Linked DNA regions of Oryctolagus cuniculus. The protein of the gene in region 7 purifies or fractionates together with the protein of the main gene of each other region. This does not show direct contact. Links are inferred from orthologs where the notes say so. Each region holds a gene or a part of one and is shown on either strand. Other genes may lie near its edges.

Region 1 (4,162 bases), on a different chromosome or scaffold from region 7:
TTCCAAGGCACCTAAGGGGACGTCGTGTGGACTAGTGGTGGACCAGTGGGCATCAGCCTCCACGGGCTGTTGTGAGGACTTTGCTAGACATTCTTGATTTGGGCTTTTCTTACAACAACCCTTTACAAATAGGAAAAAAATTTTCAGCTCACAGCTCAGACAGACACAGGCCACAGGTTGTGGTTTGCCAACCTGTGGGCTGAGGAACAACGGAATTCTTCAAGAGATGCTGGAATTTAGCTGGGGATGAGGCAGCCTCCAAAGAAAACGCGAACGGTGCCTCTCGTCCTGCACACTAAGCACGGTTAAGTGACAGCCAAGGCCTGGACCGTGAGGTCAAAGGTCAGGAAGGGGGGCATTACCCGCTTCTGCTGCTCCAAGAGCTCGTGCTCCTTCAGTGAATGATCTCCCTGCTTAAGAGAGAAAACAAGCTCACACCAGCACAACTCCCCACGGCCCGCCTGCCCCAGCTCTGCCGCCAGCCTGCGGCCTGGTTCTGCCTCTGGTCCCGGCGCCAACTCCCCGAGCCCACTCTCTCCGCAGGGACCCACGAGGCCAGGCCCAGGCTCCCCCGCCCTACCTGCTTGGCGCGCTCCTCTTGCTGCATCAGCAGTGCCGCCTGCTGCTGCGCCAGCTTCAGCCGCTCTTCTTCCGACAGCGCCACCGGCTCACCCACGCGGAGAGGAGGCGGGGGCCCCAAATTTGGTGGGTGGGCCATGGGAAAGCCAAGGCCAAGGCCTGGTGGGGGTGGAGGGGGGGGTGGAGGGGGCTGCAGAGGAGGGAGCCCCATGGGTGGCGGTGGCATGGGAATCCCAGAGAGCTGTGGAGAAAATGCGATCGTGAGCCAGGAGGCATTCGCCCACGCCCTCTGCCAGCATCCGCTGGGAGCCTGCTCTGAGCCAGGCACTGGGATTCCAAGTCAGACGAGATCCTGGGGTCGGTGCTGGGACACAGTGGGCTAAGCCTCCGCCTGTGATGCCAGCAGCCCGTATGGGTGCAGGCTCGTGGGGAGTGAACCAGCGGATGGAAGACCTTTCTCTCGGTCTCTGTCTATAAACCTTCCTCTCAAATAAATAAGTAAAAAAATATTCAAAATCAAGGAAAAAGACAGAGACGTGATTTCTTGCTCTGTAAGAGACTGCTCTGTGCACTGGAAGAGAACGGGAAGTTCTCTGGGATACCATCCAAAGAAAGCTACCGACTGTCTCCACGGAAAAATACCACGAACACAGCTGCTCCACACGACTCCAGGACACTTGAGGGACCAGCGCTGGACACAGCGGGTTAAGCCAGCGTCTGCAGTGCCGGCATCCCCTACAGGAGCTGGTTTGAGCACTGGCTGCTCCACTTCCGATCCAGCTCCCTCTAGTGCTCCTGGGAAAGCAGTGGAGGATGGCCCAAGTGCTTGGGCCCCTGCACCCACGTGGGAGACCCAGAGGAAGCTCCTGGCTCCTGGCTTCAGCCTGGCCCAGCCCCAGTCACTGCAGTTATTTGTGGAGTGAACCAGCGGATGGAAGACCTCCGTCTCTCTAACTCTGCCTTCCAAGTAGATAAATAAACCTTTTAAAAAGAGACACTTTTAAAAAGAGCCACGGCTCACTAGGCTAATCCTCCACCTGCAGCAACGGCACCCCGGGTTCTAGTCCTGGTCGGGGCGCCGGATTCTGTCCCGGTTGCCCCTCTTCCAGGCCAGCTCTCTGCTGTGGCCAGGGAGGGCAGTGGAGGATGGCCCAGGTGCTTGGGCCCTGCACCCCATGGGAGACCAGGAGAAGCACCTGGCTCCTGCCATCGGATCAGCGCGGTGTGCCGGCCGCGGCGGCCATTGGAGGGTGAACCAACGGCAAAGGAAGACCTTTCTCTCTGTCTCTCTCTCACTGTCCACTCTGCCTGTCAAAAAAAAGAAAGAGCGAGACAAAGGCCGCTGAAGGAGTGCAGAGCCATGGGTCAGAGGCACTCTCTGGAGGAAAAGCATCAAATCCTGCATAAGTGACGGACGGGAGACAACCGGCGTGCCAGGCGCTGCGAGCTCTGCAGAGTCCACCCGCGCGTTCAGTCTCGCACAGCGACACGGCAGCACGCGGGGCGGGCCAAGAGGTCGACACGGCAGCACGCGGGGCGGGCCGCATTCAAGCGGAACCCCCGGGGCCAGAACTCGAAGGCGCGGACGCCGGGAAGCGGGCCGGACCCGGAGCTCCCACCTCCGCACGGCAGCCCGACGCAGGCGAGAGAAGGGGGCGCCCCCTTACCTGTGCCGACATGGGAGGGGGCGCGGCTTTGTCCCCATCTTCCCCTCTCAAGACCGGCCGGTTCAGCACGATGCCCGTCTGCGAGAGAGAGAGCGAGGCTCCAGGGCGGCCCACCAGGGAGCCAGAGACTCCTCCGCGCCGGGGCCGGCCACCACGACGCCGGGCGGGCCCCCTCGGCCGCCGGCACTCACCTGGCGCGTGTAGCTCTGCAGCCGCTCCACCAGCTCCTCGCGACTCCCTGCGGGCGAGGCTCGGGTCAGCGGCGCGGGCCCGCCCCCGCCCCCAGTCTCCCGGGTAACCGGGCTCCGCGTCTCCACGGACCCTCGGTGCCCTCCCGGCCCCTCCAAGCCCTCACCCTGGATCGGAGCGCCTATCTCTGCCAACTTGGCCTGGAGCTCCTGGGCAGCCCAGGCGCCATAGTGCCCGGGAGGCGGCGGCGGCGGCAACTGCAATTCGCCTTTGGGAGGCTCGGGATGCTCGGCCGCCATCTTGGCCACAGGAAGGCGCGCGACCAGCCCGGAAGCTCCGGCCGCCCTCGGGGCCTACTTCCCGGAACTTCCGGCAGCGCCGCACGCCACGTCCTCTCGGCGGCGGAGGGAGCTCGGCTTGTCACGTGACTCGCCGGCCGGCCGCCGAGCCTTCTGGGAGTCGTAGTACTGAGGCCGCCGAGCCTTCTGGGAGTCGTAGTACACTGAGGCCGCGGCTCCGACGCGGAGCGCAGACCTGGGCTGCGGCGCCCGGAGCGGGGCCGCGCGGGCGGCGAGTCCCGGCCCCAGGGAGTGCTTTCTGCGTCTCGCCCGCCCGAGCGCAGGCTTCCAGCCTCTGGCTCGACTCCCGGGCCAAGCGTGAGAGGCCTGAGTGCCTGCGTTCCCAGGGGGTCCCGAGGGACTCGCTCCGCGGCGGGAGCGGAAGGTCGGGCCGATTGTCTGCCCGGGCCCGCACGGACGGAGTGGAGCGCTCGCTGCCACCCAAGCCCCTTTCACATCTTCCAGGCCCGCCCTCTCCGGCTTTCCTGGAGTTCTCGTAATGCGTTCAAATCTGCTCCATCTTGTTCAAGTCTTGGTCTTTGCACTTACATCCGCCTGAAAAAGACGAGTCGGGGCTTGATCCAACGGCTGCAGCCCCTGGCGTGCAAGGGGCGCCCAATAAAGGTGACCGGAAGAGCGGATCTTCAGCGACATCACTTGTTATCTTTTTTGGTCTTGGTCAGCCCCACTCCGCTGGCATCCCCTGCCGAGCTCACGGAGAGGCGAGCAGGGGACCCTGCCTGCCCAGCTTCCACGTTTGACTGCGCTGCCCCATCGGCTGCATTTCACTTTCCACCTGTGCCACCAGCTCTGCGTCTCCAGGGCCTGTGTGAGTCCTTGTGCTGAGTGACAGGAAGACTCACGAAAGGGTCTCACCACACGCGCGCACACACACACACCCTCAGATCCTTTCTCCACCCAGCTGCATTTAACTGTCCTCAGTGAGAAATACCTGGGAGCCGGGAGCACAGCCCAGAAGGTGAGGGTTGGGGGCAGAGCAAAGCACCGGGCCGGGGGAGCCTGGCTCACACCCCTCCCTCCCACCCACTAGGTCACCAGCCCACGGCTCCTGCTGCCAGTCCCAGGGAAGTCACAACAGCACAGGGAAAAAAAAAAAAAAAAGCGGTGCCCTTCTCTCTGGCACATCAGCCCACTCAGGCAGAACCCCTCCCGGCCTGAGGGAAGGTTCTTTCTGCTCCCTGTAACCGGAGAGCCCACCGGGGCAGGTCGGCTGAGGCTGCAGGCACGGAGCCACGTGCCTCCACTGTCGGGAAGGGGGATCTCTGGGCAGGAGAGGAAGGGCTGCTGGTGACAGAGCGGGGGCCGGGGGACACACCAAGGCGGCCTGGTTTTACCCCAACAGCCCCGGGATGCAGAGAGGAGGGGCGG
Region 2 (2,284 bases), on a different chromosome or scaffold from region 7:
ATTCAAATGCAACAAAACATTTCTCAAACTTCCACCTGCATAATCCCCACCTGCACAGAGCACTGCTCCGCCCTGTTTGGTTCAGCAGGGCTGAGGACGTCCGATTCGTACTCCTGCCACACCCCAGGAGATGCCGACGCTGTCCGTCGCTTCTGTTACCACTTCTATCATGACACCACCTGCTCCAGGACGGAGCTCCCTCCGGTCAAACAGACCCCTTCTCGGCTGGTTTCCACGTCCTCCCACGTCCTCCCCGCGGCTGCGGCTGCTGACTGCGGCGCCCCCGCCCCGGCCCCGGCCCCGGCATCTACGGCCTCCTGTCCCACACCTGCGCATCGGCTCTGCCTTTGTCCGCCTCTGACCCATCCCTGGACAGACGGGCCATCTCGTGGCCTGCGGGAAGGCAGTGTAGACCACAGGGGGCTAAGGCACGGGAAGCAACAGCCCAGCAGCCCTGGCACTCTTCCCAACAACTGCGATACAACGTTCCCGTCACCATCTCCATTCTTTCCAAGTTTTATTCCAAAAAAGGGTGTATGTGGGGGTAAAGATGTCCGTGAAGAGTAATCACCATCCTCACAATACGGTAATGGATTGGATCGGCTGGGACGGCCAAGGACCGGGTCGGCGTCGCACATCCGCGGTCCCCGCGGCAGTTAAAAACAGTCCGCGTCTTCTCGGCGTGGGAGGAAGAGCCCGCCCACCCGCCCGCCCCTTCTCGGCGTGGAGGAAGAGCCTGCCCGGCCGCCTCTCCTATTTATCCTTCTCCTTCTGCTCTTTCTCCTTCTTCTCTCGCTCGGCTTTGGCCTCCTCTTCCTCGTGCTTCTTGATCAGCTGCTCCACCTCCTTCTGTTTGAGCACTCGGATGACCGTCTTTCCGTTCTCTCTCGTGAGCGTGGCAATCTCCACTACAAACAGACACATCTGCGTTAGGGGCAGGCACGCTCGGCAGGCAGGCGTGACAGCCACGCTCAGGGACCGGCCCCGCGGCCGCCGAGCCTGGCTCCCTCTGCCCAGGCCTCCTGCTCGCGGTGGCTCATGGGTACTCTGCTCTGATGGCCACTGTCACTGGATTATGTTTTACAGTCACACAACTGAGGGTCAATAAAAGGGTCTGGAGTTGCTAAGTGGGCTTCACACAAGACATCGCAGCCCACACGTCCTGGAGAGAGCGCCACCAGTCTCCCGCCCACGTGCACGTGACGACGCGCACACGCAGAGACCACGTGAGCAGTGACAACACTGTCAGCGAAGGCAACACAGCGCAGGCTCCCCCAGCCGGGAGTTCTGAGGACAATCAGGCTCAGGCTCCGCACACCCGGGACGCAGCGTGGGCCCGTGGCTCCCCCACCTATCAGTGCCGACTCTGGTCGAGCCGCTGCACTTCCCCACGCCCCAGGGCTCTCACTGAGCCAGCAGGGAAAGGCCACCTGACGCCGGGCCAGCGTTCCAGGAAGGAGTCGGCGGTCAGCCGACGCAGCAGCTGCTCCCACCAAGCCCGCGCTCAGGGAGCACACAGCGGTCACCTTTCTCAGCGGACAGCTTGCTGACATCCATGGTCTTGTTGAGCACTTTGATGGCTAAAGCGAGCGCCGACTTCAAGGTCATCTCCCCCTCCTTGTAGTCTTGTTTCAACATTGACACAGCTGCCTGTAAAACAGAGCCACTTTTTAGTGTTTGCATTTTGTCTACCAGAAAATGCCGGAACTTCTATTAGCAGTGCACCCGGGTGAAGATTCTGAGGGCAGGGCAGGTGGCCGGGGGTGCTGGGGAGAGCGGGCCACGGGTGCTCGCCACTGGGGCCCGCGCCTGGGATCTGCTGTCTCCCAGGGGTGTGCCAAAGAATCCAGAGTGTAAAACTAACAGGAAAAATTACACCTACACTTCTACAACTTCTAACAGAAAACCACCTTTAATTACAAATGCAGCCAACAAACCCCACTATATTACGAGGACCGATGAGTGTCACTAACAGAAAGGAAAGGCATCGTCCTACCACATTAAGGTGGCTGGAGCGCTCAGGTTTGAGTCCCAGATCCTCTTTTTTTTTGACAGGCAGAGTGGACAGTGAGAGAGAGACAGACAGAAAGGTCTTCCTTTGCCGTTGGTTCACCCTCCAATGGCCGCCGCGGCCAGCGCGCTGCGGCCGGCGCACCGCGCTGATCCGATGGCAGCAGCCAGGAGCTTCTCCTGGTCTCCCATGGGGTGCAGGGCCCAAGTACTTGGGCCATCCTCCACTGCACTCCCGGGCCACAGCAGAGAGCTGGCCTGGAAGAGGGGCAAC
Region 3 (2,742 bases), on a different chromosome or scaffold from region 7:
AATCTCCTGCTAATGTGCCTGGGAACACAGTGGGAGATGGCCCAAATCCTTGGGCCCCTGACACTGACCTGAGAGACCGGGATAGAGTTCTTGGTTCCTGGTTATTGCAAGCATTTGGGGTATGAACCAGTGGCTGAAAGAACTTTCTACCTCTCCCTCCACCACTCTTTCAAATGAAAGATGTTCAGTCCTAGGTAAAGTACTCTATACATCATGGATTGCCAAGGATTAAATGAAATAGTATGTACAGTGCTTTTTAAAAGTACCTGAGTTTTTGTACGAACAGGTATTTCAGGGTATGTGTGAAGGCTGGAGTTTTCTGTAAATGCAATCCTATCCTCAAATGGAGATGATCATGCCAGATCTAGCTATCCATTAAGTTTTCCTGGAATATTAACACTTCTCAGCCCAATGGACACACTGTATTACAAACTAAGATTTAGAAGTCTAATTACAAGATTAAAACTTTTTTTTTTTGAACATTGAGTAGCACCAGCAAATTTTCTTTCATTTCCGTTTATTTAAACACAGTTCTCAAAACATTTGAGTGAAATTGGGTCTCCTTTGGTAAGCAAAGGACCTGAAAATAATATTTAAAAAATGAACAGGCAAAGTCTTCAGTTTATCCACGACACAGGTGTAGTGTTCCCTTCTCTTATCCCGTACTTTGAAGCACCCAGTTTTTTCATATGGTCTAAAAGCTAGAACAAGAGTACATTTGTGGTGGAATGTATTGTTACTTGCTGATAACTAGTTGAAATACCATTATCCCCTTGTAACAGCTTTAAGAAAAAGCCTTTTAAAGGCATACATTGTGTAACTCTTTTCTTATTCCCTGCTATATATAATACAGGTTACATAAAGGCTGACAAATCCACATTTATATAAGCATCAAGCGTTTGCTGTATTCAAAGTTTTAGTTCTAATACTAGCAGTACAGAGTTACAGAGCGTAATTTTTAACACTTACTTGCAGGTATAATAAGTATGGTATGTTTCATGGACTGGAGAAATAACGGGCATTTTTGTCTTTAAATTCACTACTGACAACTTAATCTGAACTTTCTGCTAAGCATTGATATGTTAGAAAGAAAAGTAAAAACCAAACTGTTTATTGTTGCTTTTTGCCATTTGGTAACATTTTACACACAGGCTTCGATCTTCAGAATACCCTGGATTCAGTAGAAAAACCTTTTAAATGAAGTTTTGTACAATAAAAACTTCTCAGCAGTCAAAATTTAGACTGTAAAAAAATACATGCAAAACATACTTCTCTGAAAACACTTAACTTTGAACAAAGCACCAAACTACACAAATGCAGAATGAAAACAGCATTTCAACTCCACCAAAAGTAGTCATCATAAAAGGTGTAAAAGTCACCTAACTTCACTAGGCACTGTTCACTTTTTAAACAGGAGACAATAAAAAATATTGTCCACAAACAACATCCCAGCTCTAGGGCAGATTTCAGAGTGTTCAACTTCATGCTTCAATAGCGACCTGGGAAGAAAATAAACAAACATGCTTCAATGCCAAGGAATCAGAATAGCAAATGTACTTAATGCTGAGAACTGAGACTACCTCACCATTAGCACGTTCCTATGTACCAGCATAGCCCCTCTTTGAAAATGAAGATTCTCGGAACGGTGTTAACAACAGAAATTAAACATTCAAGTGTTAAACAGAAATGGCTGGGTTAAGTAGATCATAACCTGAGAACAACAGTTTTAAATCACCCAAGTATCCCAAAGTTGTCCAAAATTTTCAAGGATTTCTAAAAGGAAAGCTACTGACAGTGAGAGAAAACAGTAAGTCTTAAGGGTTGTTTTTATAAACTTTGAGTCCTAGCAACATTTAGGATGTGTGTTCATAACATATAAATAACCCAAATCAACCCATTATCTGCATAAGGAAGTAACTTGGCTGTATAAAAAAATCCTAAGATAAAAAAACTTACGAGGTGAGTAGGATCGTGATCTGGAACGTGATCTGTATCCTCCACGACTATAGTAAGGAGAAGGTGACCGCCTTCTGTAAAAAAAAAGTCAAGACTGCCTAAGTCTCCATAGATCACACTGACAAGTGACAGTAACACCCTACCAAAATGAAGAGGTCCTCATGAATTTTCAAATATTTCTCATAAGTAGGAGATTTCAAGGTCCTTGTAAGTTGAGAATAAAGCACATTATAATAATGCATCCGTTTCACTATCAGAGATCCAATAATCAATTCTTTACTTGACCAATCAATATGCTTTCCTTTTAAATTCTGTGAAATAATGTTAGAAGAAACTAATTTTCTAACACCTAAAACAAATTTCACTAGTGCTTCAATAAAATGATACCACTGAGTAATTCTGTCTATAAACCATATTATTTCTGCAGATCCACAAACTCCATTATATTGTCATCTGGCTTTACATCCAAGCAATCCAAATTTGTGTGAGGCCACTTATGCCTTAACTATAAAACCATTACTAAGCGTACATCTTTATTCAAAGTTTCTACTGTTGACCAATTATAAATCCTTTCCTGGCATACCTATAAATTTGATCTCTATCTTGAGCAGCTCTCCATCCGCCTCCTCCTCCACCACCACCTCTGGAAGACAGAAAAGAAACACACATTTAGTTTACTGACTTTTAGGACGAATATACAAGTCTTGCTTTAAAATAAAAATATCCACAAAGCAAAACTTGAATATAACTTAAAAAAAAGTTTTATTTATTTGAGAGAGGGGAGAT
Region 4 (4,148 bases), on a different chromosome or scaffold from region 7:
TAGATCATGAAAGTTATCAACCTTATAAGTATTAAATGAAAAAATTCCTGAACCAGCTGGCATCCTGTCTGTTGCATGATTTCTTCAGTCTGGGTTAGCTATCTCTACCTCTGTTCCCATAAGACTTTCTGTGTGCCGGCACCACAGCTCACTAGGCTAATCCTGCGTCTGCGGCGCTAGCACACCAGGTTCTAGTCCCAGCTGGGGAGCCGGATTCTGTCCCGGTTGCTCCTCTTCCAGTCCAGTTCTCTGCTGTGGCCCGGAAAGGCAGTGGAGGATGTCGCAAGTGCTTGGGCCCTGCACCCGCATGGGAGACCAGGAGGAAGCACCTGGCTCCTGGCTTCGGATCAGCGCGATGCGCCGGCCATAGCAGCCATTTGGGGGTGAACCAATGGAAGGAAGACCTTTCTCTCTGTCTCTCTCACTGTCTATAACTCTCTCTCTCACTCACTGTCTATAACTCTGTCTCTCTCTCACTCTATCTCTGCCTGGCAAAAAAAAAAGACTTTCTGTGTATCTCTGTGTTTCATCACTAGAAATATCCACCTCACTGCAGTGCAGTCATCTATCCTCACACAGCACCATCACAAACTTTGAGGCAGGGCCCACGGATTTAACTTCTTTCATCCCAACTTCCCAGTAACTGTCCAGCTAACAGGGGCTCCTTAAAGATAGAAAATAGCTCACTCGATACTTCGCACTCATCATCCTGATGTCCCTACAGTCGTGTCATCTTTCCCTAAAAAGACATTGCAGGAGCTTTACCTTTGCTATTCCTTCTACCATGACATAGTCTATTTACTTACTAAAAGCAATTTTCCTTTACAGCAAACTCTTCCCCAACTTTTTAGCAGCCTGCATTTAGCAGCGCATCTCTTTGCTCAACTAATTACACCTTCCTAAAGTTGTGACCACCTTGTCCAAAAAAGCCACTTGATTCCAAACTTGGAGTCACCCTCCAACCCTTTACTGTCTTCCCAGTACCTGGTACCTGAAATGGCATTATTGATTTGTTTCACTCATATAACCAGAAGGCAAGCTCTGCACAGATAGGAATGCAAAAGTATAGGAAAAAGTTTCTCACTCATCAACCAATACAACACACCCAACACTTCTGACACCAGATGTGGGGGGAGTTTCCAGACATTCAGGTAATGTCCAATTCAATTCAATTCTGACAGATCCTGAGGGCTGTCTTGCAAGACTGCCACACTTCAGATACCAATTTCAAGTGTGCTCAGGGTATACTCCTCACCCACGAGGTATAAACTGGGGTTCCACAACTCCCTCCTTGAGTTCAACTGGCTAGGCCAGCTCACAAAACTCAGGGAAACGTTTACCGATTTATTATAGAGGACATTAAAAGTATACAAATAGCATATGAAAAGCAACACAGTTGCTAAGACTGGCCACTTAAAGACTGCATTCTGCCATTGCGATTTTAAGCACACAATACCCTCAACATCCCTGGTATTTTCCCTGCATATCCACTTCAAATTCTAACTTTTTCTCTTGACCCTACTTGTCTATGTCACAATGCCTCGCACCTACCTGTAACAGTTTCTAAAGCAAACTCTTTGATCCACGCAGTTCTCTTCATCTAATTGCTTTTTGCACTAAGACTATCATCTATGTAAATGAGCACTTTGATAGTTGTATGCCTTGGGCCCCATCTGCGTTGCAGCTAAAGACAGATCTCCTGGATACGTAACGCCTGAATACAGCAAGGCACTCAACGTCATTCCCAAAAGAATGGTCGCGTAAATTTTTTTTTTTAAATTCAGTGTCATCGGCCTGGCTGAAGACGCTTGAGGAGAACCAAGCATGGTCAGGGAGCTCAAGCTCACGCCCTAAAATGACAGCTTCCTTTGCAGCCCATTTTTTCACACTCGACTTTTCCAGATGAGTTCGCGGGGAAAGTTTGCCTACTTAGACCGGGCAGCCAGGTCACGCATAGGGAATTATGTAACTTCTCGGAAGCTCCCGCTTAGAGCATCTTTTTCTCCTAAAGGAAGGGAGCGCTTGGCCTTTGGTTACCAAGGCAACCGGGCACAGCAGCGCTCCAAGGTGGTTCGATTTCACCGAAGAAATTCTAAGGTTCAAAGTTAAAAGTGCGGAGCGCTGGCGCCTATGGGGACACAGCGGCCCCCACTGTGGCTAACTGAAGACTCCCCGATCAGTTCCGGATCCCCCTTTTCGGGAAGCTTTGTTCGGGGCGACAGAGTGGATAGAGAAAAGGAGAGAGCCAGAAGCGAACAACGGCCGGAGCGTCGCGCAGTCGCGTCCCGCGCGCTTCCCTCCGCCCGCGTAGGCAAGCCCCGCTCCCCACGGTGCCATCGCGTCCCGCGGAGCCGCCGACCCCAGGGCGCGCGCTCCACACACCCGCAAGGGGCTTCAGCGGAAAACACGTGCCGCTCTCCAGCTTCTGCGGTCCCGCCGAGGGTTTCGGCCTTGCCCAGGGGCCGAATTCAACCCAAGGCCGCTCAGGAAAGACCCCAGCGTCGGGGAGGCCTAGCCGCCGCGGCGACCGGCGGGAGGCCCTCGCCAAGCTCTCGGCTCTCTTCTTCCTGTGTCCTAAGCCAGATCCCTGGCTGGAGACGACGGGGCAGAGACATGAAAAAGAGGGGCACTACCAGACCCTTCCGTATCAAGGACCCAAATCAACAACCCACCTGGTGAGCGCCATCTTCTTCCGCTTCTTCTAACGCGAGCGACAGCGCCGCGGGGCGGGTCTTTCCCGGCAACCAGGAGCGAAGAGGGCAGAACCCGCGATGCGCAGGCGCCGCCGCCGAAAAGCCTTCTGGGACTTGTAGTTGTTTAAACGTGAGTACAATTCGGGTCTCTTCTGACCCGTGGGGTTTTACAGGACGGCCCCTGAAGTCAAGAGTAAATGGCTAACTTGATTACTCGTTTACTGTCACATGACAGGACATTTCCTTGGCTAAATAACGAGGGTGGGGGGAGAGGCATTTTAAACGCCTTTATTTTATTCCCCCGCTCAGACCCATTCACCTAGAAGAGGTGTCTAAGTATAAGAGGCTGCCCGAAGCAAGTTGAGTGGAGGACAATGGGGTTTCTGAAACGGTAGGAAATCGTGAGACCGGAGCGTTCTTGGACGCTCTGAGAACATTCACAATCAGAAAACTGTTCTTGAACCAGTACCCTTTCTTCCCCAAACACTCCTGGGGATTTAACTGGGATAGTTCAAACCGTTGGTAGAAAAAAAGGGAATTAAAATATAGTTATTTTATGCACCAAAAAAAATTGAAATTTAGACAGTTTTTTTTATAATAATATACATTTTCCATGAACCTCTTGAAGACCCACTGTATTTTTGTGTTCTTTAGCAAGTCACTTTGAGAATATTCCTTATGTGTATAAATATATATGTATATACCTACATACATTATATATATATGATTTAATATATTCAGTAAGATTTATAGGAGGCCATTCATTTGGACTGAGCTTCTGAACAAAGACCTGTCAAAAGTCAAAACTGTGACAGATTTAGTTTGAAGATCTAATCAGGGTTCAGCACTGTGGCATAGTGGGTTAAGCTGCCACCTGCAGTACAGGCAATGCCGGTTCAAGTCCCAGCTGCTCCATTTCCAATCCAGCTCCCTGCTAATGCACCTGGGAAAGCAGCGGAGTTTGGCCCAAGTGCTTGGGACTCTGCACCTACGTGGGAGACCTAGAAGAAGCTCCTGGCTTTGGATCGGCCCAGCCCCAGCTGTTATGGCCATTTGGGGAGTAAACCAGCAGGTGGAAGACCTCCCTCTCTGTCTTTCCATCTCTCTCTGTAATTCTGCCTTTCAAATAAAAAATAGATTATTTTTTCAAAAAAAGATTTAATTAGCTTTTAGTTTTGATTAGCTTTTAGTTTTTTTTTTAAGGTTTTATTTATTTAAAAGGCAGAGTTACAGAGAGGCAGAGGCAGAGAAAGAGAGGTCTTCCATCCACTGGTTCACTCCCCAGTTGGCCGCAATGGCTGCAGCTGCGCAGATCCAAAGCCAGGAACTAGGATCTTCTTCCCAGTCTTCCACGCAGATGCAGGGGCCCAAGGACTTGAGCCATTTTCCACCGCTTTCTCAGGCCATAGCAGAGAGCTGGATTGGAAGTGGAGCAGCCAGACTCGAACTGGAGAC
Region 5 (4,046 bases), on a different chromosome or scaffold from region 7:
GCCTGCCAAAGAGGGTCCACTGTCACCACTGCTCCATGCCGTGCTGCAGGTCCCAGCCAGTGTGAACAGGGATCCAAAAAGAAAAAGCCAAAGAAAGAGCAAGTAAAATACAAGGGGCTGGCTGTGTCCCGTGGGTTTCACTGCCGCCTGCATCCCATGTGGGCTCTGGTTGGAGTCCCAGCTGCTCCACTTCCGATCCAGCTCCCTGCTAACGCACCTGGGAGAGCAGCAGAGGATGGGCCAAGAGCTTGTTCCCTGCACCAGTGGGGGAGTCCTGGAAGAAGCTCCTGGCTCCTGGCTCGGGCCTGGGCCATCCCCAGCCGTTCTGGCCATTTGGGGAGTGAATCAGTGGATGGAAGATTCTCTCCTTCTCTGTCTCTCCCTTTCAAATAAATAAATCTTAACAAAACGAACAAAAAGATAGGGTCTGGCACTGTGGCGTAGCAGGTAGAGCCGCTGTCTGAAGCCCCGGCTGCTCCACTTCCGACCCAGCTCTCTGCTCTGGCCTGGGAAAGCAGTGGAAGATGGCCCAGTGCCTGGGCCCCTGCACCCGCGTGGGAGACCTGGATGGAGCTCCTGGCTCCGATGGGACCAGCCCCAGCCGTTGCCGACACTTGGGGAGTGACCCAGTGGATGGGAGGTCTCATGCTGTCTCGGTGACTCTCTCAAATAAATAAATCTTTTTATATATATAAAAAAAAGTTAGTTAAAAATGGAATTTCTGTAAATGGCCTTTACAGTACCATCCAAAAAACTACAAATATCTAGAGCTGCAGGCGCGGGCCGAGCCTGCGGGGAGAGGGCGGCGGCGGCCACGCGCGTCACGGGGCAGGCTGCAGGACGCACGCTTCCAGTCTCTCAAGGTCGGGAGACCCCCGCGGGCCTACCGCAACCCCACCAGACCCGGGCTTGACTCCCGGGGCCGGCCCCGCCGGCGCCAAGCGGCCACGCACACCCTCGCTCCCACTGCGCGATGCCCTAGTGTGAGAGAGGTCCGCGGGGCTCTTCCCCCGGTTTTCCTAACTTTCGGACCCAGACGTCTAGAAGCGGGGCCCCCCACCCCCACCCCACCCCACCCGACCCGACTCCAGAAAGCCCCGGGCGGAGAACCCCGCGCCCGGCCCGTCCCCAACGCCAGCACGGAGCGCCGGCCGAGACGACCTCCCGGGGAGGCGTGGCTCTTCGATTGCTTCGGGCTGGCGGTCGATCTGCGATTGGTGCGGCCTGGCGGCGGCGCGGGGCATGCCGGGACGTGTGCTCCGCGCGCGGCGGCAGCGGCAGGCGGGGGCGGCGGCGGCGCGGGGCGGCTGGCGGCGGCAGCATGGTGAAGCTGACGGCGGAGCTGATCGAGCAGGCGGCGCAGTACACCAACGCCGTGCGGGACCGCGAGCTGGACCTCCGCGGTGAGTGCGGGGGGCGCGCGCCGCGGCCTCGCGGCCGTCCCGCCGGCGGAGCCTCGAGCTGGCTTCCGGCCCGGCGCGTAGCGTCGCGCGGGCCTCGCGGGCGGGAAGGCGGCCCCGGCGGGCGGGAAGGCGGCCCCGGCGGGCGGGAGCTGCTGGGCTGGGATCCGGGCGGGAGGAGGCGGGGCCCCGATGGTTTCTCACCCGATCGTTCCCTTCCGGGAAGCGGCCTTGAGGTGGAGCCGTCTCGCCGAGCCTGGGCGCGTGGGGCGCTCTAGAGGCGTCGGCCCGGACTCGGCTTCCCGGGGATGGGGGCCGGGCTCGGCTTCCCGGGGATGGGGGCCGGGCTCTGGGGGCGTCGGCCCGGACTCGGCTTCCCGGGGATGGGGGGCGGGGGCCCCGGACTCGACTTCCCGGGGATGAGGTCGGGCTCTGGGGGCGTCGGCCTAGACTCTGCTTCCCGGGGATGGGGGCCGGGCTCGGTTTCCCGGGGCGGGGCCGGGCTCTGGGGGCGGGGGCCCCGGACTCGGCTTCCCGGGGATGGGGGGCGGGGGCCCCGGACTCGGCTTCCCGGGGATGGGAGGCGGGGGCCTCAGACTCGGCTTCCCGGGGATGGGAGGCGGGGGCCGGGCTCTGGGGGCGGGGGCTCCGGGCTCTGGGGGCGGGGGCCCGGACTCTGCTTCCCGGGGATGGGGGCCGGGCTCTGGGGGCGGGGGCTCCGGGCTCGGCTTCCCGGGCTCTGGGGGCGTCGGCCCGGACTCGGCTTCCCGGGGATGGGAGGCGGGGGCCGGGCTCTGGGGACGGGGGCCCCGGACTCGGCTTCCAGGGGATGGGGGCCGGGCTCTGGGGGCGGGGGCCCCGGACTCGGCTTCCCGGGGATGGGAGGCGGGGGCCGGGCTCTGGGGGCGGGGGCCCCGGACTCGGCTTCCCGGGGATGGGGGGCGGGGGCCCCGGACTCGGCTTCCCGGGGGTGAGACTGCGGCGCTGGCCGGAGGTTGCCCGCGGGCGCCCGTTGGCTGTGCTCGCGGCCTGGACTCCCCGCTGACCTTCGGGGGAAGCCCCGGAGCTGCTATTTTGTAGCGAAAGGCTCGGTCCGAGAGCAAGCCGCCCCTTGGGCCGCTCCCAGGTCTGGTGGGCGCGCCGTGCTGAGCAGCTCTGGATTGGAAACGGCCTGGCCGCGGCCCTTCCCTCCTCCGCTGGGCACCGAGCGCAGCAGTAGGCCCCGGTTAGAGCGGTGGGCTTTCGGGCGAATTGTTCACAGGGCGTCGCCTTCAGGTCTGGATTGGCGCTGGGGAGGTGAAATAAAGGGCTGTGGTGACGGCATGAGCGCGTCCCGGGAGCCTAAGGGCTGTAGTGGCGTCATGAGGGTGTCCGGAGAGCCTGTGGACTCTGGTGACGTCATGAGCGTCCCGGGGAGCCTGTAGACTGGTGACGTCATGAGCGTCCCCGGGAGCATGTGGGCTCTGGTGGCGTCATGAGCGTCCCCGGGAGCATGTGGACTGTGGTGACGTCACGAGCGTGTCCGGGGAGCCTGTGGGAGAGGTTGGGGACCGTTGACAGTAGGGCCTGGGCCTACTGCAGCGGAAGGCGAACCGTTGGGCGGCCCCGCCAGCGTTCTTCGGAGCCTCGTCAGGCGCCCCTCACGCACGTCCTTGCCGTCAGCCTCGCGCGTCCGCAGCTGGAGCCGAGCCTCGCGGCGCCGGGGACTCGAGACCGCCCGCTCTCGTGTGCGGTGGGTGCGCGCAGTGTTCCTCACTGGCAGGTGTGGGTGCTGGACACCGCCGGCGGCCCGAGGGCCCTTCGGGTCCTGTTCATGCCTCTCCCGCCCCGCCCTTCTGTCCGCAGGGTATAAAATTCCTGTCATTGAAAACCTGGGTGCTACCTTGGACCAGTTTGATGCTATCGATTTTTCCGACAATGAGATCAGGAAGCTGGATGGGTTTCCTCTGCTGAGAAGACTGAAAACGTTGTTGGTGAACAACAACAGGATATGGTGAGTGCGCCGGAACAGCGTGGCCTTTTCTCCGCTGCTCGCTCCTGAGAAGCTGTAGTGAGGCCGGGTAGACCTACTTGATTCCAGGGTTCTGCGGGCACCTCCTGCAGCAGGAGGCCTGGCCAGCCGGAGCTGGGAGCTGGAGCCGGCCGGATGGCTGCTGTGGGTGCGTGCGCTGTCACCAGCCCCTGGGGCCTGCAGCAGCAGCAGAGCTGGCATTGGCGCCACAGCTGGGCGTTTAACCCGGGCGCTCGAGTGTGGAGCGCAGTGTCTAACTGCCTGGCTCACACCTGTGAGCCAGTCTTCTTCGAATGAGAGATGGGGTGCAGCTTTCCAGGGATCCAGGGGTTACTTTGACATTGGCCTAGGCGTATTTGCATATGTTCAGAAATATTTACATATTCATAATTTCTAATTAAAAGTGTGCTGTTTTGTACATGTTTTGGCTTCTAAAATAGTTATCAAAGGGATTGTATAAAAAGCTTTATAAAGCTCAGTAATTGTGTTTTTATCACATGTCTACCTCCTGCCTTCTGCTTTACTTTTCTTCAGTTAAACTGGTTTCTAGAAGATTTGCTGAAATTGGGATCGTTTTAGCCCTTAAGCTCTGTGTAAATTTTATTGGAAAAAATTTATTGGCTACTTGTAGAGAA
Region 6 (4,252 bases), on a different chromosome or scaffold from region 7:
ATATATAACAAAAGAGCCTTCTTTGCAAAGCATGCACAGCTGCTAAAATATGTCAGAAAAACTTCGTAACATCCGTTACCTCCTCATACTTTGTGTAATTACAGCACCAGGAAAAAGTGTAAGAGCAGACCAAGGGTCTTGCCCCACTTAACAAAAAAAGAAAACCATGAGAAAGGAGAAGCCGAGTGTTTAGTCAAGACCCTGAAAATACAGTCCTGCTGGTTTGTTGGCTTAGAGATCTAACAGGCAAGAACACACCAAAAAGTCCATGGAAAATGAAACTAAAAGGTAAGTTTATTTTCGCGCGCGCAAAAAAAAAAATCTGGAATCTATGCATAGGAGTATTGTTGTATGACAATTCATATCCTATAAACAATTTTCCTTAATGTTTAGTGTGATACCTTTGATGCCTAGACTTTTTTTGCATCATAAGAGCAACTGAGAAGTCAGCCAATCTTAGTTTTCAGTCCCAGCTTGACTCTTACCAGTGAAAACCTTCAACTGTTTGTCTATTGAAAATCTTACTGTTTGTATTTCTTCTGCTACAAGCTGGAAAGTTTGCAGTGGCAGAGAAAGGAACCTCTACGTAATTCACATCAATTCCAACGCCAAAACAATTCCGGGCGTTTGCCTTTATCCCAGTGGCCCCACAAGTAGTTCCTCCGAAAACAACTTTTTATTATCATTCCGGGAAAGGGAGAACATTTCATGAGTCTGGCCACACGGCTTCCACGGCAAGCTCAAGTTCAGTCTCAGGAGGAATCCGTTCAGAGTCTGGGTCGAAAGACACAATACTGTCTTGAGGCCACGGGAGCCCGCGATTCCGATGCCCCAAAACAGTAACGTACCCTTTCGCCAGAGTGGCAGGGACTCAGGGGGTTGGGGGCGGCAGCCGCTTCCGTAAAGAAGCGAGGCTTTTCCCACTAAAATTGCCCGCAAACACGCAGTCTAACCCGGCCGAGAGAGAGACCTCTGCCTAGCTTACCTCCTGTTTCCTTGCAAAGGCTCCCCGGAGATAGTCACACGAGTCCTTAGACGCTGGCTACCGCCGCGGCTTCCATGTTTCCTGAAAATCCTGAATAGGGCCAGCCGGGCAGCCCACGCACTTCCGGTACGGGACCAACCCCAAACACCCAAGCGCCTCAGCGCCCCGGCTCCAGGTCCGGAGATAGCCGAGTATCTCCGATTACGGTTATGCTAGCGTCGAGGGCTTCCGAATACATTCGATTGAAAGCTTCGGCAAGACGGAGATAACCGAGCCTGAAAGCAAGCCGAGGGAGGGGTAGCGGCAGGACTAACGGAAAGAACCAATTGGCGGCGATGTGAAGGCGGAAACACCCGAGCAGTTCCGGAAAGACTCGGGGAGTTCTGAGTGGTAATCGAGGCGTAGACTATGGTAATGGGCGGGGCCAGGTCGGTACGTTCGAAGGGCGTTGGCGGAAATTACCGAAGATGCCCGAAGCCGTCGGGACGGACCCGAGTACCTCACGCAAGATGGCGGAGCTGGAGGAGGTGACTCTGGACGGGAAGCCTCTTCAGGCGCTGCGGGTGACCGACCTGAAGGCCGCACTGGAGCAGCGAGGCCTAGCCAAGAGCGGGCAGAAGAGTGCCCTGGTCAAGCGGCTCAAAGGGGTGAGGAGTCGGTGATCCCGGGGTGTCGGAGGGGAGCGGACCCGGTAGAGACGAGTCTCTGCCGCGGCGCAGGCGCAGTGTCCGGGCTCGGCGCGAGCTCTCAGGCCGCCAGCGCGAGCTTCCAACCCCGCGCGCACGGTGGTTGGTGAGGCTCGAGCTGGAACGGAGATCGCGCCCGTTCCCGCCTTAACGGCAGCAGCGCGAGCCCAAAATGGGAGGGTGCGCGCTACTCTCCCGGAGTGTCTTAAGCTCCTTCCTCCTTCCCCCACCCCCTCCTTGTTTGTGTCTGTGGTTTCGGCGCATGCGCTGCAGAAGGAGTTAAATCCCACTACAACCACCGGCGTTGCTGGCCTGACGGGGGCGAGTTGGGTTGGGTCGGAGTTAGGGGTATAGTTGGGTGGAGGGGAGGATGGGGTTGATCCCGGGATCTGCTGGAGCAGGGTTGGGGTAGGATAAAATGTCTGCCCTGGTAGATAGGGAGGTGAGATGAAGAGAAGCCTTGATTTGAAGGGACGTGGTGAGACAGTGGTGTCTGCAGGGAATCCAGAAGCAATTTGGGTGGATAAGAGTTTGGTGGGAGAGGTGAGGTTTACATTGGATCGGCTTGAGCAGGTTAGGGTGGGTTTGTCTTGAGCTGGACGAAGTGGTGTGTATGGGCTTGGTGTGAACGGAGGAAGGGGAGGATGTGTCGCTTTTAATTAGAGTTGATTAGGATACGTGGCAGGTAGTACAGAGTCGGGCTGGGTTGGCCCGAGGGTTGAATTGGCAGACCATTGCTTATCCAGAAGCTGGCCGTTTTGTGTGGGGGGTGTGGATTAGGGCAAAGCACAATTTTCAGGGTCTGTATTCATTTTCTCATGTGGCCTCTTTGACAGGTTTTATAAATTTGATAAGTCTCAGTGTCTCTGCCAGAAATTATACAGGTTCATTCAAGTAGATCTAGTCTTGGGCAACAGTTTGACCAAGTAACTCAGTTAAGCCAAACCGAGCACCCGGTGTTGGTTTCATGTATTTGAAGCTGGTGTTGAGCATTTGAAGTCATTTTTACCTGCACTGCTAGATTTAGAAGAGGCACCAAATGTGCAGAGGGTAATAAGGATTGTAGTATTGCTTCTGTCACTGTCACTGATTTTTATGACATGGCCAGATCTCTGAGTCTGTGGGCCTGCATTTTACATCTGTGCATTTAGGAGCAGTAACCATGGCTACCTTTGAAGGGCTTCTGAGGATGAATGAGAACAGTATTGGTAAAGAGCTTTTAGGTTCCTGGAAAAGGAGCGCAGTTTAAGTGTGTATTTAAGGCATCACATTAAATGAAGAGGTTGTGGGAGGGGTAGCGGTTTTGTGTTGTTGTTTTCACCTGGTTTCTGACTTTTGCACTTCTCCATACCAGGCTCTAATGCTAGAAAATTTACAGAAACACTCAACACCCCATGCTGCATTCCAGCCAAATTCCCAGGTAAGAAAGGTTTGGTAGCTGGAGTGGGCTTGTTTGGAGGTACAGACACATGGAAGGAGGGCCATAGTGTTCTACATTTGATGCTTAAGTCCTTACCAATATTTTTCTAAGGTCCCTTGGTTGGAAATGTTCTCGTACTAGGACAGTTGAGTTCTAGCCAAGCCCAGTTTTGCACAAGGACCTGTAAAGAATAGAATCAAAGGAACTGTTAGTTAATTCCTGATCCTCGCAGAAAAATGTCACTCTGATTAAGTGTCACTGAGAACTAGAAGTCATTTATTTGCCGTTGATTTGGGAAAAGTCGTTGATGTTTTTGAGTGGAGATACGAAGTAGCTCACCAATAGGGCAGTGTGGGAAAATACTTGCTCATCAGGAATTCTTTGACAGCTTTTTTTCCACCAAGAATGCAATCTTTTGTAAATCATGCACTATTATTAGTGTTATCTGCCAACTCTGTGTGATTACATTTAAACATCACTAATAGCTCTGTTACTTCAAACAAGAAACAGGTTTTGGAGGCCTTGGTTTCCTCAGTTTCCTTATCTGTAATGAGAAGATGTTGAACTAGATCCATAGTTTTATAACTGCTCAGCTGGGCTTTGGGGGGCTTCCTAGGAAAGATAGATACCTTCTTTCCAAGTAAGCAAGATTCCTACTCCCTCTTAAACTAGATTAGATATGTTATCTACTTCATGAGTTCTGCATGAGATTTCTTTTTAAGAAATCATTTTGCAGTTAAAAACGTTTCTTAGCCTGCACAATCTCCTAAGGTTCCTTTTACGTTTTAGAATCTCCTCAGTATAGTGTGCCATGCTCTTAGGGAAAAAACCCAGGTCTTTATTAATGCAGTGATGTGCAGAAACATTACCAGATGAAGTCCCAGGATACTGTGGAGAACAAGAGAGCCTTCCTGTTCCCTTGTTATCACCTTATTAAGCTGTTAGTATAATCTAACCAATGTTCAGAGGTTTAGCTGTGTACTTTAACAAGGATAAGGGACTGCATAAGTTAATCAGTTCATGATTTACAGCAAACTTGCATATTCTCTAAAACATGTAACCTGTGCCTCTTCACTGTCCATTGAGTACCCAGAGACCCATTTCTACCATAGGTGAAAACAAGCAGTTAATATGCTTAGGAAATACAATAATCTGGAAAGT
Region 7 (3,500 bases):
ACCCCATGTGCCACGTCCCGTGCCGGCCACATCCTGCCTCCAGGGCCCAGTGTTCTAGGGAGCGAAGACACCAGCGCCCCAGACACCCACAGGCACGGCAAGGGAAGAGGGCTCGGTGCAGAAGGTCCCAGGGGAGCGCCACTACGCAGGCGCCGAGCAGACAGCCCCTGAGACAAGCACAGAGCGCGAGCGCACCGCTCAGCAGCCTCTACGGCCACAAGCCCGCTTCTGTGCCTTCACGGCGTCCGGCAAGACCAGGGCTCCGACCCCAACCCACGGTCCACAGCAGTCGGTCTGGGAGCACCGCCGGTCAACCCGAGGGAGCCGGCCCAGCCCAGCCGCGCGAGGCAGGAGCACAGCGTCTTCAGGAACAGGTCCAGGGGTCTGGACAGGTGCCTGGGCCACACGCCAGCAGAGGGCGGGCTGGAGGCAGGTTTGGGTTCTCAGAGCACACCAGAGCAGCCGAGGGACAAGGACGGACTGCACATGCCCGACCCCAGCACTGGCCCGCTCACCTCCAGAAAAGCAAAGTTCTTGTCTTGGTTAATCTGCACAGCCAACACAGGGTTCCCAGGAGCCTGCGTCAGCCCCCCCAGGCGCATCTGGGCGTTGAAGAAATCCATCATGGCCTCCTGCAGAGGGAATAGGAGACAGGGGGGGGCGGGGGAAGGGAGGTGGAGAGAGGAGGGGAAGGGTGAGAGAGGGAGACACAGAGGGGTTTGGGGGTAAGGGGGAGGGATGAGGGGTGAGGGAGGGGAGGGGGAGGGGACAGTGAAATATGGGGAGTAGGGGGCGAAAGGGCCAAAAGCAAGAGGAAGGTGAGAGAAGACAGGGAGGCAGCAGCGAGAGGCGGCACAGGGCGGGAGATGGGTCGATGCGGCCGACAGGACGGAGGTTGGGAGGGAGCCACGGGGGCCCCAGGCCATCGGGGAGACGACAGCAGGCGTCAGACGGGCAGGGGAGGAGACAGCATGTGGGAGGAGAGGACCCAGGACACGACGGAGCAGATGAGGACAGGCAGGAGCAGGAACCGAGAGAGAGAGAGGCCACAGGGGCGGGCAGGGCGACCAGGACAGAGCAGAGCGAGGAGATCCAGAGGTGGGGGCGGGGCGGGAGGAGGGGCGGGAGGGGAGGAGAAAAGAGTGATGCGGAGGGACCTGGCCCTGGAGTCCGGGGGCTGGTTTATCAAATGTAGCAAAGTGCAGGTTGAGAAAGTCAGAATGGACCTTACTTGCCTTCGACGATGGTAGCAAACTTTTTGTTGCTACGAGGGATCTCAGCCCCACAATATTTCACTTTAAAGAGAAATGGAAACAACTCTTTGATCTCGGGATTCTCAGGGGGTGCCACGGGAAGGGGTGGGGAGGGTCGGGGGACAGGAGCGGCGGGGAAGGTGGCAGGGAGGAGGTCAGGGCATCAAAACAGAGCAGCGACCATGGGAGGGAGGGAGGGCTGTGGGAAAGGCTGGGACAGCGGCACAGAAGGAGAGGCGTGTCAGAGAAGACGGGCGTGCGTCTGCGTGTGTCTGCGTGTGCCTGTGTCGAGTCTCCCTCTCTGTCTCTCTCCGACACGTACGTGTGATGTGTAGGTACGTTAGCTGTGTGCTGGAGGAGGGTGTGGGAGGGGAGACGGGAGAGGGAGGAGGAGGGAGGGAGGGGCCACCCCCAGCCCGGCCCCTGGCTGGCTCAACTCCATCCGTCCGTCTGGGAGGGGGCCGGGGGGGTCTCGCAGGAGCAGAGTCTGACCCGTGCAGGTTGGGGGAAGGGAACGGGGGAGGGGAGGGGCGGGGGAGAGGGAGGGCAGAAGGGGCAGTACCTCAGTGATGCCGAAGGGGATGTTGCCCACGTAGAGGCGCCGGGCCTGCCTCGTCATCTGGCTCCCAACCACGGGCACCGGCGTCGGAGTCACGGCCAGACCATCCGGGGTCATGGTGGGGAGGAGGGCAGTGGCTGGAATCTGACCCGCAGCTTGGAGGAGACGGCACAAGACGAGGCGTCAGGAAAGCCTGGCGCGGAGCTCGGGCACCACCCACCACACACTCAGCTGGAGACCCCCACCCCCACGGGCACTTCGGGTGCCCTCCTGCAGCCCCCCAGGCGCGGCCAGCGGGCCTACCTTGCATGGCCTTGTACTGCATTGGGGTGATGTGCTCGAAGCCAGGGGGAGGCACGTCCCAGTATTTACGCACCTTCTTCTTCTTCTCATGGCGGGGGGAGCGACTGGGGGCGGGGAGAGCGGGCGGCCAACCTCAGTCTGACCCACAGCCGCAGGGCCCCTCCCAGGCTCCGCAGAGGCCACCCCCCACGAACTCCACTCTCCCCAGGAGAGGGGATCTGGACCCAGGCCTAGGGAGGGGTGCTGGTTTGAAGGCAGAGCGGGGGCCAGGGCTGGACACGGGCACGGAGGAGGGGGGAGGTGTGGACACGGGTGGGAGGAGGGAAGGTGTGGACGTGGGTGGGAGGAGGGGAAGGTGTGGACATGGGTGGGGAGAGGCACACAGCAGTGAGGGAGGGGAAGGTGTGGACACAGGCAAGAGAAGAAGATGTGGACACGGGCAGGGAGGAGGGAAGGTGTGGACATGGGAGGGGGGAGGGGAAGGTGTAGACGTGGCACAGAGAGGCACACAGCAGTGAGGGAGGGGAAGGTGTGGACGTGGGCAGGGGGAGAGGAAGGTGTAGACACAGCAGGGAGAGCCACACAGCAGTGAGGGAAGGGAAGGTGTGGACGTGGGCAGCGAGAGGGGAAGGTGTGGACACGGGCAGGGAGAGGCACAGAGCAGTGAGGGAGAGGAAGGTGTGGACACGGCAGGGGAGAGCCACACAGCAGTGAGGAGGAAGGTGTAGACGCGGGCAGGAGGAGGGGAAGGTGTGGACGTGGGCAGGGGGAAGGGAAGGTGTACACGAGGGCAGTGGAGAGGCACACAGCAGTGAGCGAGGGGAAGGTGTGGATGCGGGCAGGGGGAGGGCAAGGTGTGGACAGCAGTGAGGGAGGGGAAGGTGTGGATGCGGGCAGGGGGAGGGCAAGGTGTGGACAGCAGTGAGGGAGGGGAAGGTGTGGACACGGCAGGGAGAGGCACACAGCAGTGAGGGAGGGAAAGGTGTAGACGCGGGGGCACAGGGGCAGGAGAGACGCTCACATCAATCCACCGTGGTCCTCTTTAGCGCCTCTGGTCAAAGGTTTGCTGGGGGGTGGGAGGGAAAGGTAGGGGAGGGGTGACTGGGGACCCTCGACTGCCCCACAGGCCACTCCCCCCCAGCTCACTGAGTCCCAAGGCTGGGGCAGGGCCGAGGAGAACAAGCGGCAAGCAGCCCCCTCGGCCCTGCCATCTCCCCCCGCCAACTCCCAGACCAGGATTAGGAGAGGAGGAGGCGGGCCAGGGCAGACCAGTGTCCCTGCAGGCACTGGGCGGGGGGGGGGGGGGGGGGGCGCGGGAAAGCAGAATCCCTGGAGGGAGCCCGGGAGCCGAGGCTGCAGACAGTGCCCCACTGCGAGGAGGGGAG

The links.
Region 1: the proteins of U2AF2 (region 7) and SF3B2 purify together in Homo sapiens (affinity purification with mass spectrometry; 3 studies listed by BioGRID and IntAct, counting the BioPlex papers as one, with this or other methods). This does not show direct contact. The link is inferred for Oryctolagus cuniculus from reciprocal best matches to the Homo sapiens genes U2AF2 and SF3B2.
Region 2: the proteins of U2AF2 (region 7) and PSMA4 fractionate together in Homo sapiens (co-fractionation; 3 studies listed by BioGRID, with this or other methods). This does not show direct contact. The link is inferred for Oryctolagus cuniculus from reciprocal best matches to the Homo sapiens genes U2AF2 and PSMA4.
Region 3: the proteins of U2AF2 (region 7) and TRA2B purify together in Homo sapiens (affinity purification with mass spectrometry; 4 studies listed by BioGRID and IntAct, counting the BioPlex papers as one, with this or other methods). This does not show direct contact. The link is inferred for Oryctolagus cuniculus from reciprocal best matches to the Homo sapiens genes U2AF2 and TRA2B.
Region 4: the proteins of U2AF2 (region 7) and SNW1 purify together in Homo sapiens (affinity purification with mass spectrometry; 4 studies listed by BioGRID and IntAct, with this or other methods). This does not show direct contact. The link is inferred for Oryctolagus cuniculus from reciprocal best matches to the Homo sapiens genes U2AF2 and SNW1.
Region 5: the proteins of U2AF2 (region 7) and SNRPA1 fractionate together in Homo sapiens (co-fractionation; 3 studies listed by BioGRID, with this or other methods). This does not show direct contact. The link is inferred for Oryctolagus cuniculus from reciprocal best matches to the Homo sapiens genes U2AF2 and SNRPA1.
Region 6: the proteins of U2AF2 (region 7) and ACIN1 purify together in Homo sapiens (affinity purification with mass spectrometry; 3 studies listed by BioGRID and IntAct, counting the BioPlex papers as one, with this or other methods). This does not show direct contact. The link is inferred for Oryctolagus cuniculus from reciprocal best matches to the Homo sapiens genes U2AF2 and ACIN1.

Annotation. Positions count from the first base shown.
Region 1 is NC_091432.1:5,766,885-5,771,046, forward strand, and holds the start of SF3B2 (splicing factor 3B subunit 2), read right to left. Parts: upstream 2,801-4,162; 5' UTR 2,735-2,800; coding exon 2,602-2,734; intron 2,485-2,601; coding exon 2,438-2,484; intron 2,325-2,437; coding exon 2,247-2,324; intron 821-2,246; coding exon 581-820; intron 414-580; coding exon 363-413; intron 1-362. UniProt on the Homo sapiens protein: Component of the 17S U2 SnRNP complex of the spliceosome, a large ribonucleoprotein complex that removes introns from transcribed pre-mRNAs.
Region 2 is NC_091443.1:106,298,628-106,300,911, reverse strand, and holds the end of PSMA4 (proteasome subunit alpha type-4), read right to left. Parts: intron 1,651-2,284; coding exon 1,527-1,650; intron 909-1,526; coding exon 754-908; 3' UTR 501-753; downstream 1-500. UniProt on the Homo sapiens protein: Component of the 20S core proteasome complex involved in the proteolytic degradation of most intracellular proteins. This complex plays numerous essential roles within the cell by associating with different regulatory particles.
Region 3 is NC_091435.1:95,591,738-95,594,479, forward strand, and holds the end of TRA2B (transformer-2 protein homolog beta), read right to left. Parts: intron 2,600-2,742; coding exon 2,540-2,599; intron 2,031-2,539; coding exon 1,957-2,030; intron 1,500-1,956; coding exon 1,489-1,499; 3' UTR 501-1,488; downstream 1-500. UniProt on the Homo sapiens protein: Sequence-specific RNA-binding protein which participates in the control of pre-mRNA splicing. Can either activate or suppress exon inclusion. Acts additively with RBMX to promote exon 7 inclusion of the survival motor neuron SMN2.
Region 4 is NC_091451.1:23,450,505-23,454,652, forward strand, and holds the start of SNW1 (SNW domain-containing protein 1), read right to left. Parts: upstream 2,801-4,148; 5' UTR 2,687-2,800; coding exon 2,673-2,686; intron 1-2,672. UniProt on the Homo sapiens protein: Involved in pre-mRNA splicing as component of the spliceosome. As a component of the minor spliceosome, involved in the splicing of U12-type introns in pre-mRNAs.
Region 5 is NC_091443.1:10,490,476-10,494,521, reverse strand, and holds the start of SNRPA1 (U2 small nuclear ribonucleoprotein A'), read left to right. Parts: upstream 1-1,246; 5' UTR 1,247-1,321; coding exon 1,322-1,403; intron 1,404-3,245; coding exon 3,246-3,393; intron 3,394-4,046. UniProt on the Homo sapiens protein: Involved in pre-mRNA splicing as component of the spliceosome. Associated with sn-RNP U2, where it contributes to the binding of stem loop IV of U2 snRNA.
Region 6 is NC_091443.1:51,920,717-51,924,968, forward strand, and holds the start of ACIN1 (apoptotic chromatin condensation inducer in the nucleus), read left to right. Parts: upstream 1-1,452; coding exon 1,453-1,632; intron 1,633-1,680; exon of another isoform or gene 1,681-2,118; coding exon of another isoform or gene 2,119-2,214; intron 2,215-3,025; coding exon 3,026-3,091; intron 3,092-4,252.
Region 7 is NC_091449.1:3,333,362-3,336,861, forward strand, and holds part of U2AF2 (splicing factor U2AF 65 kDa subunit), read right to left. Parts: intron 3,182-3,500; coding exon 3,137-3,181; intron 2,220-3,136; coding exon 2,116-2,219; intron 1,968-2,115; coding exon 1,816-1,967; intron 633-1,815; coding exon 516-632; intron 1-515. UniProt on the Homo sapiens protein: Plays a role in pre-mRNA splicing and 3'-end processing. By recruiting PRPF19 and the PRP19C/Prp19 complex/NTC/Nineteen complex to the RNA polymerase II C-terminal domain (CTD), and thereby pre-mRNA, may couple transcription to splicing.